3 linked regions of the Tribolium castaneum genome follow. The main gene of each other region encodes a partner of the protein of the gene in region 2 in a complex. Links are inferred from orthologs where the notes say so. Each region holds a gene or a part of one and is shown on either strand. Other genes may lie near its edges. The genes, in order: nmdyn-D7, Grip75 and gamma-tubulin complex component 2.

Region 1 (4,289 bases), about 10 Mb from region 2:
AATCAATTCAGAATAGCGGAATTGTATAAATGGCTTTTGGTTTTACTTCTCTGAAATTCACCGCACATATAGATGTCAACAGAAGCTAGGTAGTGTCCATTTATTTCCGGCTAAACCGGAAGTGGTACCTGGACACCACATTATTGTGAAATTTGAATTTTAACGTAATGTAAGCAACAACTTTATTATTTCGAAATTTACAATTGTTTGTACACTATCTAGATCCATTAGTCAGACAAACAAATGTTTCTCTGCTTGAAAATATGAATTCGGAATTCTTCAACGAGTCCTAAAGCGTAAAATTTGTTTTAACACGAGATCAATGTAGTGCATCTTCTGGGAATAATTTCAGGCATTGCCGATTAAATATTTATGTGAAAAAATAGAAATGGAGGTAAATAATTGGGAATAATTTATTAACTTCAGCCTTATTGCTACAATAATAAAATATTTACACATACGATATTGGTCATAATTTAGGTGAAGCTTTTGATGTTACTATTTTTATTTCAAGAATTCAATTAATTTATAGCAGGGCAAGTTTGATGCAAAGAAGTGCAAGAGAAATGAGAACCGTTTATAAATTCTGAAACTAACTTGAAATACTAAAATTGTTTTAATTATTTGAAACAATTTAAAGTAAACGTTATTTTAAAGATTGGAAAGGTCTTCGGCCATTCAATTTACGGTGAAGCATTGTAAAAACCCGCCCTAAATTAAATATCCTAATTAGATTTTGCGTCTATAAAGCCCCGCATTATTTTTAATACACGTTTTAAGTTCAGGAAATGGAATGAAATGCGTTTGATACCAAATAACGCACTTTATCGAAATTCGTTTTTAAATAACTTTTTCAGCAGTCTGAGCGTAAATGGGTTTGGTTTCAGAAGCCGCTGGGGAGCAAATCGAGTCACTTACCGGTACAGATGGTAAATCCAGGTTCCGGAGGCTGGAGTTGGTTGCAAAAGCACAACACGAAGACGACTTCGTATAGCTGGTGGCCTACGTTATATAGCACCTGTGGACGCGGCGGGCGCAGCCACTTTACGCTGCCACTCAGGTTTCGGGGGCGGCTTCAGGTTAGTGCGCCACTGATGAATCGGGTATTTCCCCTGAGAGCGCACTATTTAACGGAAAGATTAGCGATTTTTGCGTGTTGTTTGTCACTGATAGCGTAATTATCATCCAGCCGAGGGAGATTTGTTTGGTTTATAAATCGGAGCTAATCGAAACCTTTTCAATCATTAACGGAAAACATGTTAATAACCGGCGAGTGTGACGGGACCATATGTGGACGCGGTCTTTGTAAATTTCCGAATTTTATCTGATTAATGTACTTTGGGTTGTTTACGAAAAATACGTCTCCTGGCCGCAAATTACCAGCTGCGTTGGTCAACGTGATGGAGGTTTTATCTTTAATCTTGGATTATCTAACTTTTTATTTTTTCCTTCAAATATTCATGTTAAGTAAGTGGGTTTTTTCCCTTTAAATTAATCCACTAAGCCCCAAACGTCGATTTACCCTTTTTAATTGCCGCACTGCTTCTGCTACCCTTTTAACATCAACTTCACTTCTTCTTGAAACACCCTTGTTAAGGCTTTTGTCTAAATGCTTTTCATAAACATTCGGATCCCTCTAAGGCATCGCTTAATCTATTCGATTCTATTGGGTTTTCCTCATTTGACACCGACTTAATCACTGTTGTGTGTGAGCAGAATCTGCATAAACAACCACGCTGTTCTAACGAATTTTTCGACAAATTGCTAGGTAGCTAAAATTGTGATCCCTCTCGTGCGTAATTTGCCATTCGAGAAGTATATGAACTTCATATTTGAACAATTTTTTTGGGGCAGTGGAAATGTCGAATCATCGGTTGAATTTTAAAAAACATAAAAACAATATTTTGTCTCCATTGGAGCGTGTATTATTTACTTCCAGTAGTAAATAATATATTCCTTATTTTGGTGCGACGCAAAATTTAATAAATACTTTTATTATCAATAATTTTTTATAGTGTTGATAATTTTTAATTATAATTGATTAAGGATTTTAGACTTGTTTTTTATTTCTTATTTATAAAATTCATGTTATAAATAAACTGAGAATCACACGTCCAATTTCTACTCCATTCAGTTTTTTAAAGTAATAAAGTAGAAACGGGAGTAATTAATCTAAGTTTGTCTTACTCATTTTCTTGGTAGTAATAAAGTGCAGTAGTCATACCTGAACATAATACGGTTATTGCAGATATTTCCCATATCATCGCTAATTTTTTGATTAATGTATCTTCTGACATACACATCTACTAGAAATTGTTATAATGAACAATTCAAATCAGAAAAGTCTTTATTTGTTTCAACAGATGACACACTAAAATATAATTCCCGCTTAATTAAATGGACAAAACGCTGTATAAATTTGTAATTACGAGCTGTTAACCTCTTGGTATTTTGCTTAGTGGGTCAAAAGTTTTATTTTTATCTAATTAGCCGGAACAGTAAGGAATAGATATGACTGTACTCGTAGAAATGCATTCTTGTGAGTTTAAATGTAATTGCTCTATCTATTTTTAGGTAGCAAGATTAATAATACACGCTTTTTTACCAAGAAATTTTTCTTCTGAATTATCGTGGGCTGACTGCACAAAGTGACCATGTCAGAAATTAAACCTTTTCACGGCAAATTCAGTTTAAACATTAATAAAATACTTTTAATAATGAATTACAGAATAAACTCAAATAAACTAAATCGAAAAAAGAAAACTTTTACTAATTTGCAAAGTTAGAATTGACAAAGAGATTTCAATTTAATAAATTTTCTTTTTTTCAACCGTTTAGCGAATCCGTCTTTGATCGTTTTTTGGGCGTAAACCGTAAGACAGAGAATGACTTACTATTTTTTGTATCAAAATTCTCTACAACTACCTTTTGTACATTTTTCTTGCATCTTTAACCGCATTCCCAGCATTTTGAAAAATATTGTTAAGATTTGTTAATTTTTTTGTTTTTTTTTTATTTTTTAAACTTAAAATACCGAGTTTGAAACCGAGGCGGTCTAACGTGCCCTTGTTTTGAATCCGCTGTACTAAATTTTTCGGTACAGAAAAGTTTTGAACTTCGCTTCCCTCCCTAGTAATTGTTAGTTTTTCACAGATTTGGTCAATTTTTTAGGTATCTCGTAATTCACTCAAGTTTTATAACAATAATTACTGAAGTTAACGATTTGTGCATTTCGTATGTAAATGCAACAATTCGTATGAAATACCATTTCAAATAGTATTCTTTTGAAGCTGAGATTCCTTTGATTGTTTTGATACCGGACATCGATAACTCCCACATAGATTTACGGTGGAATGGAAGATCTGTGTCGAAATATAAAATTCCACTTAATTCTATAAGTATTGAAAAGACAGTCCACAATTTCATTTATAAAAAAAGCAAAGAAAAATGAATATTTTCAGCAGACATCGAAATCAAATTAATGCAAAGATAGTTTCCTGATATTCAAGTGAAGAATCGTATTTAAATAGTAATTAGCTTGTTTGCATATAAATCTCGCATTACATGACGCATTTCTGAAATTTATTATCAGGGGGTTGTAACTCTCCGATTTAAAACTGTAGGTAAAGTTTCATAAATCGTTATTTGTAAAATGTTAGTAGGTTACACATAAGCAGATTACAACAGCTCCAACCCGGAATAAAATAGTAGATAACTTCAGGGCTTATTGAAAGTGAAATATTTTTCCGCCTATAAATAATTTACCACGAAAGAGGGAAGTTTAAATTGCTCTTCTTCGATAAATTTTAAATAACGCAACTAGTATTTCATTTGACGTGTCTGTCACGGCCTTTCACATTCCAGTAAATCCGACAATGTCATCATCGTTCGGCACCGATTACGGTGATAAATTATCGTTCATAGCCGAATGGTTCGACTTCGATTCGGCCTACCAGAAGCGACTGCTCCTGAATTACTACCCCGTCGATAGCACGGTCGAGCTCTACGACATCGACCTCAAGCGCCCCTTCCTCAAGCGCTCCTTCTACGAGTGCATCAGCCGCGACGACGTCTTCGTGGGCAACAAGGTCCGCATCTACGACCGCCAGTTAAAAATCGTCGATTATGCCGATTGCCGCACCAAAACAATCATCGGCAACACGCGCCAGCACACCTTCGGCGTGATCAAAGTCAGCGTCATCGACAAAATCGGCGAGATTTTCAACCAAATCCAGGACCGCCACTTCGAAATCATCAACGTGCGGATGTGCCGCTTGAAGCAGGCCGAA
Region 2 (4,346 bases):
ATAAGAAAGTCAGAATAATTGCATTTTCTCAAGAAATTTACAATAAAAACTTGGATCAAATGACCATTCCTAGACAATTTTATCATTCATATCGCATTTATGGCTCAAATACCAAGAGCCTTGAGTCATGTTTACAAATTTTTTATTAAGAAAAAAAGGACCTTCTGAGCAACGATGGGATCAGAAAAGTATTGCCTGCTTAAAGTCGTAACAAAAAGGGCTACAGGCCTCAGAAATGGACTTCTGAACGACCCATTCATCATCTCCCATCTGAACATCAGAAGGATCGTCCATTTCTGAGCCCCTAACCTTGGTCTATGTTCATCGAACCCGTTTCAGGAGTGTGTCGAAACACTTGGCGCCACCTATTTCCCCAAAAAGCAATCACTTACCAGTGGAAAAATTGCTCAATGACAGAAAAAAATGTAGAAAATAATATTTTTTTACGTAAAAAAACTGCTTTAAGTTAAGACACGTACGGATAATTGCCGACTGTCGATGTTGTAGGGGTGCACTGTGGCGGTGGTTCTCGGCACCGTCCCTTGGGGCTGCGGCATATTGTGGTCTTTGCTTCCTGGTGATAATGACGGCGTTGGTACGTTGCTCAAGGAACCCCCTTGCCTGTGAAAAGCGGGTTAGAACCAAGGGGGCGACCGAACGCTGCCAACTCACTGTTGAATACTTTTGTACAAGTCTCTGATTTTCTGATGAATCGGATGCGATCGCACTCTAAGGAGCTCTAAAGCCCTCTGTTGAAGCTCGGTTTTTCTTCCTGACTTATTCCGTCCAGCAAAACCCAATAGCATCTGCAGTTCGGACACCCGAAACGTAATTAGCATATTCTTGAACAAAAACAAAGATCAATTAACGCGCTCAAGGGGGCCCTGGCAACTGAACAATGCAAGAAATTAACGCACGATAAGCTGAAACAATGTGCAACTATCGGCCAATTACACAAACACCAACATGGTTAGGTGGAAAGGGGGCGCTTACCCGCAACTCATCTATGTTTTCTGACATTTCCTGTGGCTGATCCAGTTTGAGATCTCCTCTAACGTCACTTCAACCATTTAAACAAATGAATAACACGGCTTTTTGTCAAACATCAAGTGAGCTAGCGTCCGATCGTCAATTCAAAGCCTACCCAATAGGGCGGTTTCAGGGGGTTAAAAGAACGCCCCACGCACTTCTGGCACACAGATTTGGGCTATTTTTCGTGGCGTCACTTCGAAATGCACGATTTTTGCCAAAATAACAAACCAACAAACGATTTCACATAAGGGACTGCGCGCTGCCAACACTACAGCGCGAAAGCGAAAAGCACCAACACAAAAGTTCAAATCTACGACAAGAGAAAACAATCGCAAATAATTTAGTTACTCCAACTGTTGTTAATTCAAATTGTTATCGTTTCGAAGCAACATTATCAAAACACATTGGACACTTTTGGAAATTTATAGAAAAAAAAATGTTTTGGGTGCCACCACACAAAACTAAATATTTCTAACAATGAAAAATTTGGTGGGCAGGTTGGCAGCAATTTGCTAATTCAAAAATTGATGTTTTGAGGTTAAATAATTTTATTGGTGGTAAAAAAGGCCATAATGATTCACGAGATACTGATTAACTTGTTGCACAATTCGGACGATTCGGTATTTGTGACCGCTTTGTGGAGCCCCCTTGCAATTGTTTGTTCCAGTTGGGCAAACTTGACGAACTCCAGGAGTTCCTGCACCCGGGGGAGAAGCAACTCCTCCACCACATCATGGAAATATCCTCAAACCACAACTGGATCGTCTCATTTTGCAAAAAAATCCAGAACTGTAGTGTTGACCAACACGGTCTCTACATCAAGGCTTTTGTGAACGGTGTGCTTGATGTTTTGGGGGATTACAAGAGCGAAATTGTCAGACTGGAAGATCAGTTCTTGCAAAACCCCGAGCTCCAGTTAATTTTCATTTCAAGTTGCTTGGAAAAGTACCAAGTATTGTTCAATGTGATTATGTCGATTATTCAAGTCGTGGAGAAGGACAGGCTCCATGGGTGCCTCCTTATGGGGCGGCTCCACAAATACATCTACTGTGGCGTGGAACCTATAACCCAAGCTGCGAAAAAGTGAAATCCCACCCTTGAAAAACCACTTAAATGCGGTTTTCTTACAGGATAACTCACTGCTTCAACAGCATTTTTTACCGCCACTTGTGCAACTGGATCATTTACGGCGACTTGGTCGACCTTTATAAAGAGTTTTTCATCAGCGATGGCGAATGCTGGGACGAGGATTTCCTCTACCCTGAGCAAAACGAAGAAAGCACACTGACACGAGTTGTACGTTGAATTTTTTCGCTAACCGTTTTTTTAACAATTTTTTGCAGAAACACCGAATCAAGCGCCCACCACCTGTCCGCAAATTCACAATAGTCTGGTCTATGGTTCCGATGTTTATCACTGAAGATACGGCCGAAAGCATACTTTTCATGGGCCGAATCGTATGGATCGTCAAAAACCACCAGAAAACCAACACAGATAATTACCAAAACCTACACAAGCCTGACGTTTGGGACGGCAAAGATATAGAGTATTACAAGAAAATTCAAGCGCTCGAGACGCAAATTTTCGACCAGATGGAGTTCCAGAGAGTTATAGAGGAGTGCAGAATCAAGTTAACCAAAGTAAGGATTTTTTTCCACGATTTTTGGTAATAAACTCAATTTTTGTGCCAAAAACAGGAAGATTTCGTTAAAAAAAATATAGCTTTCACTGTACTCGTAATAATGTAGAATTTCTAGTACTTGTGGTCCGTTATGGTGGACGAGGGCGACCTAAAGGAACACTTGCAACTTATACGAGATTACTATGCGCTGGGGCGAGGCGAACTTTTCCACCAATTCATCGAAGCGGCGGAAAATCAAACCACTTCGTACAACCTCAACGTGATTTTCCTGGAAACTGCGCGGAAAATCTACGGAGAGAACGACAAGACGTACCTCAGATTCGAATTAGCTAAACTGGAAAAGACAAGTGGGGGAAACACAATTAATGTCCCCAACTAATTGATTATTTCAGGCGTGAACCCGTGGTCGAAATTACAACTCAATTTCGAAATTAGTTGGCCCCTTCATATCATCTTCAACCCAAAATCGATGGAACTGTACAATCAATTATTCTGCTACTTGTTAAGGCTGAGCAGAACTCAGATCCACTTACACAAGTTGTGGCAAGCGCACATGTCCGGGAAACAAAACATGTGTGTATTAATTAAATAATCAATCGGTTATTGTTAATTTTTGCAAATTTAGTGACCGGCGAGTGTGGACTTTACGCCAGCATTTAATTTTCCTAGTCAATAATCTACAATATTACCTCCAAGTGGACGTGATCGAGGCGCAATTTTCGCTACTTTTGAAAGCGATCGAAAACGCCAACGAATTCGAGGAGATCATCAAAGTCCATCACGAGTTCATCAGCAATTTACTCGCGAAAACTTTCATCCTGACCCCTGATAAAGTAAGTCAAGTCGGTTTTGAAATTACTTTGGTTAGACTGAATTAATTTTGCAGAGCCACACTTATCAAAACAAACACCGGTTACACCAAACTCCCGCCGTTCAGTTTAACGTCCCGAGTGAAGTAATAATTGTTGATTAAGTGTTTAATTGAACAATTAATGGTTTGTTAAAGGTTTACAACGTGATAATCCAGCTGCTGGAGCTGTGTGACAATTTCTGCGTCATTGCGTCGACATGGCAACCGCAGTTAACCGAACCGGAAGTAACCGAGTTTGAACAGTTCCAGAAACGCACCGATACCATCGTCGATTCGCTTTTGTTTATTCTGTACAAGTTACATGAACGAGCCGATGGCCAACACTTGGTCCAGTTGTTGCACCAGCTCGACTTTAATCGCTTTTTCACTCGAAACAAACCCGAGTTTAACCTAACGCAAAGAACGTAATTTATTTTTTCTTCATCACTTTCATAAATAACACCATATCTGGAATAAATTAATTAGGAGGCAAAGTTATTTCATTCGGCGACTTACTAATAAAAACAACCACAACCACAAGTAACATGATCCACATCCAGCATTTCCAGGCCCGTTTCGAGTGCTCGGCCAATTTGTTCGATTCCGCGCTCAGTTTGGAATAGTTTTGGTCGGTTAGTTGCGCCGATCGCGACACAACTTCGGTGTCTTTTTTGATAATTTTATTGGCTAGTTCCGACTGTTCTTTCAAGTTTTTGGTCAAGATGAGCATATCGTCGGTGATTTTCTGTTGCATGTTTTCGTGGAAATTCAAAACTTGGTCTAAGTCGCTCGTTTCGGGGCCTTTGCGGTGCCTCACGCCTG
Region 3 (2,527 bases), on a different chromosome or scaffold from region 2:
AAGAAAAGCACTACATTGAAGCGATCGAAAATGCGTATAAATTTGCAAGCCAAACATTACTCGAGCTAGTTGTGAAGGAAAAGGATCTTTTGGGGAGACTGAGATCCGTCAAACACTATTTTCTCTTAGACCAGGGCGATTTTATCGTAACGTTTCTCACTTTGTGTGAAAAAGAACTGAGTAAAGATGTTGGCGATGTGATTCAAGGGCGCATCGAATCGCTGATGGATCTGGCTTTGAGGCTGTCAAGCGCAGTGAGCGACCCATACAAGGACGATTTAAGGACCGAGCTCTTGCCCTATGATCTGCAATTTCAAATGATGAAAATACTCACAATTCAGACAAATATGGAGCAAGGTGCTTGAGTGTGTTTCTGGATTGGGATTAATTTTGTGTTCCAGACTTTCGGACCGCCTACGAGCGCCAGAAACTTCTCGTTATTGACTCGTTCTCGTTCAGTTACGAAGTGCACTGGCCCTTGTCTTTGATTCTGAACAGAAAATCTCTGGCGTGTTACCAGATGATTTTTAGGCATTTGTTCTATTGCAAGTATGTGGAGAGAATGATTTGCCAAGTTTGGAAGTGCAATAAAGTTGCGAAAAAGTTCCATTTTGACGATGCGCAGCACTATAGGGCCGCCTTTGCTCTGCGACAGAGGATGTTACATTGCGTTCAGAATTTGGAATATCATATGATGGTGGAGGTGATTGAACCTCACTGGTGCTTATTTCTGCAAAAAATTTCCAAAGTAAGATTTTTAAAATAAAAACGGCAAACTAATTCTAATTTTGAAAGGTCAACAACGTCGATGAAATATTGTTTTGCCATCGCGATTTTTTGGATAGCTGTCTGAAGGACTGCATGCTCACAATTCCTCCGATTCTTCGCACGGTTACCAAGCTTTTGGCAATTTGCGTGGATTTCTGTCAATTTATGCAGGTTTGTTAATAATTCTCCCTTAATCACTTTCCTACATTTGATCAATCTCTGAGGTAATTAGAAACGAAAGCTGTGATTTTTTACAAAATTATTGATTCGTGCCCTTGATTTTTTATAGAGGACGCAGAAATACTTTGTGGAAGCTGAACTTGGTTCATTACCAAGTTCTATGTATGAATCATTTCATCAGGTATTTGCTTCTCAGCATGTGGCGCTATTACATAATTAGCGCTTTTCTATAAATTTGTTCAAATTATTGTTGTGTCTATAATAATAATTGATCAGTGACATTTTGTAGCCTTTGTTTTTATACCGAATGATTCAAAAAATTGGTAAACATGTTTTTTGTTTTTGAATCTACGGTATAAAAAATATGAAAGTATTTTTTAAAGATGTTGAATGCTGCATGTCTAGATTTTTGTGTAGTGTGATTATAACATCGCCAATAATTTTTGTGTTGATTTAGAATGAGAAAGCCTTCCAAGACAGTGCAAGCCACGCCTCCACAGCGCCAAGCTTCAAGGAAAGAATTTCTCTATTCGACGTACAATTTTCAGTCGCTTTGGTAAACTTGCTGGATCAGATTAATAATTTAAACAAGGATAGCAGTGAACACGACAGGCTCTTTAATTTGTTATACAGGTAAATATGTTTATTTCGTTCGATTATACTCACCATTGCCTCACCAATTAGTTTAAGAAAAATTTAATTTTCCTTTCCTTTCTTCCTTTCGATGATTTATTTCCCGTATTTTGGTGAGCTTATTTAACAAATCAAATGGATGCAAGTGTTTAATGTATCGTTCTACAGGCTGGACTTCAATTCGTTTTATTCTGGCGATTTAATGAAGAAGGATTTTGGGACCATCACAATTGAATCGTCTGGTTGATTAGCTTAGATGTACAATTTTTTGGTGTAATTTTGATTTACATCTATAAGTTAGGGTTTATGTAGAATATTTATGTTAGCATAGTTAATTAATAAAAAATCAAAACCGCAATTTGTGTTTTTTTAACCTAATAACAATCCTTTTTCACAGCCTTCTGTAAAAGTAAGGCTGTTCCTTGCGCTTAGCTTTTCAAAGGAAATATTTTAAGAAAAATATTTACCCGACTTCGTTTCTTCGTAATCATGAAGTCCTAATCCCCTCATAATTCATTTTCTATACTTATCACTTCGAAACACCATGTTTATCAGTTCTTTGTAAGTCAGAGTTGCATACTTTACGTCATTTGTTATAACACCAAAAGAAACACCCATAATGTAACTGAAATATTATTTTAGCAAATATACGGTTCTAAATTAATCTTATTAGAACAAAGAAGTTCCATATGAAATAAACTCAAATCACTACCCAGTATTTTCTATTGAAAAAAAGATTTGCAAACCAAAGATAAGATACCGTATTTAAATAACATTTAAAAGGACTTATGGACAACAATAGAAAATTTATGCTAAAAAAGAATAGTTAACACAATTAAAATCGAATAAACATAAAAATACCACTACGTATCATTAATTCAGAAGTAACGTAGCTGCTATGAAGTGAAAGAAAAATGAAAGTGCTGTGGGCTATATTCTTTTTCAA

The links.
Region 1: Grip75 (region 2) and nmdyn-D7 share a complex: the UniProt entries of both Homo sapiens proteins name them as parts of the gamma-tubulin ring complex. The link is inferred for Tribolium castaneum from reciprocal best matches to the Homo sapiens genes TUBGCP4 and NME7.
Region 3: Grip75 (region 2) and gamma-tubulin complex component 2 share a complex: the UniProt entries of both Homo sapiens proteins name them as parts of the gamma-tubulin ring complex. The link is inferred for Tribolium castaneum from reciprocal best matches to the Homo sapiens genes TUBGCP4 and TUBGCP2.

Annotation. Positions count from the first base shown.
Region 1 is NC_087396.1:11,132,612-11,136,900, forward strand, and holds the start of nmdyn-D7 (nucleoside diphosphate kinase homolog 7), read left to right. Parts: upstream 1-1,445; 5' UTR 1,446-1,460; coding exon 1,461-1,467; intron 1,468-3,864; coding exon 3,865-4,289. UniProt on the Homo sapiens protein: Possesses an intrinsic kinase activity. Displays 3'-5' exonuclease activity with a preference for single-stranded DNA. Does not seem to have nucleoside diphosphate kinase activity.
Region 2 is NC_087396.1:21,170,698-21,175,043, forward strand, and holds Grip75 (gamma-tubulin complex component 4), read left to right. Parts: upstream 1-1,466; 5' UTR 1,467-1,604; coding exon 1,605-1,652; intron 1,653-1,699; coding exon 1,700-2,115; intron 2,116-2,162; coding exon 2,163-2,328; intron 2,329-2,375; coding exon 2,376-2,672; intron 2,673-2,789; coding exon 2,790-3,021; intron 3,022-3,066; coding exon 3,067-3,247; intron 3,248-3,299; coding exon 3,300-3,507; intron 3,508-3,560; coding exon 3,561-3,629; intron 3,630-3,680; coding exon 3,681-3,953; 3' UTR 3,954-3,954; coding exon of another isoform or gene 3,955-3,992; 3' UTR 3,993-4,027; downstream 4,028-4,346. Other genes in the region: Su(var)2-10 (E3 SUMO-protein ligase PIAS2), read right to left, coding at 480-621, 673-842, 994-1,020; vesicle transport protein USE1, read right to left, coding at 3,955-3,992, 4,041-4,343. UniProt on the Homo sapiens protein: Component of the gamma-tubulin ring complex (gTuRC) which mediates microtubule nucleation.
Region 3 is NC_087402.1:3,140,401-3,142,927, forward strand, and holds the end of gamma-tubulin complex component 2, read left to right. Parts: coding exon 1-357; intron 358-401; coding exon 402-748; intron 749-795; coding exon 796-939; intron 940-1,057; coding exon 1,058-1,129; intron 1,130-1,405; coding exon 1,406-1,581; intron 1,582-1,614; exon of another isoform or gene 1,615-1,632; coding exon of another isoform or gene 1,633-1,648; exon of another isoform or gene 1,649-1,749; coding exon 1,750-1,828; 3' UTR 1,829-1,939; downstream 1,940-2,527. Other genes in the region: mucin-3B-like, read left to right, coding at 2,496-2,527. UniProt on the Homo sapiens protein: Component of the gamma-tubulin ring complex (gTuRC) which mediates microtubule nucleation.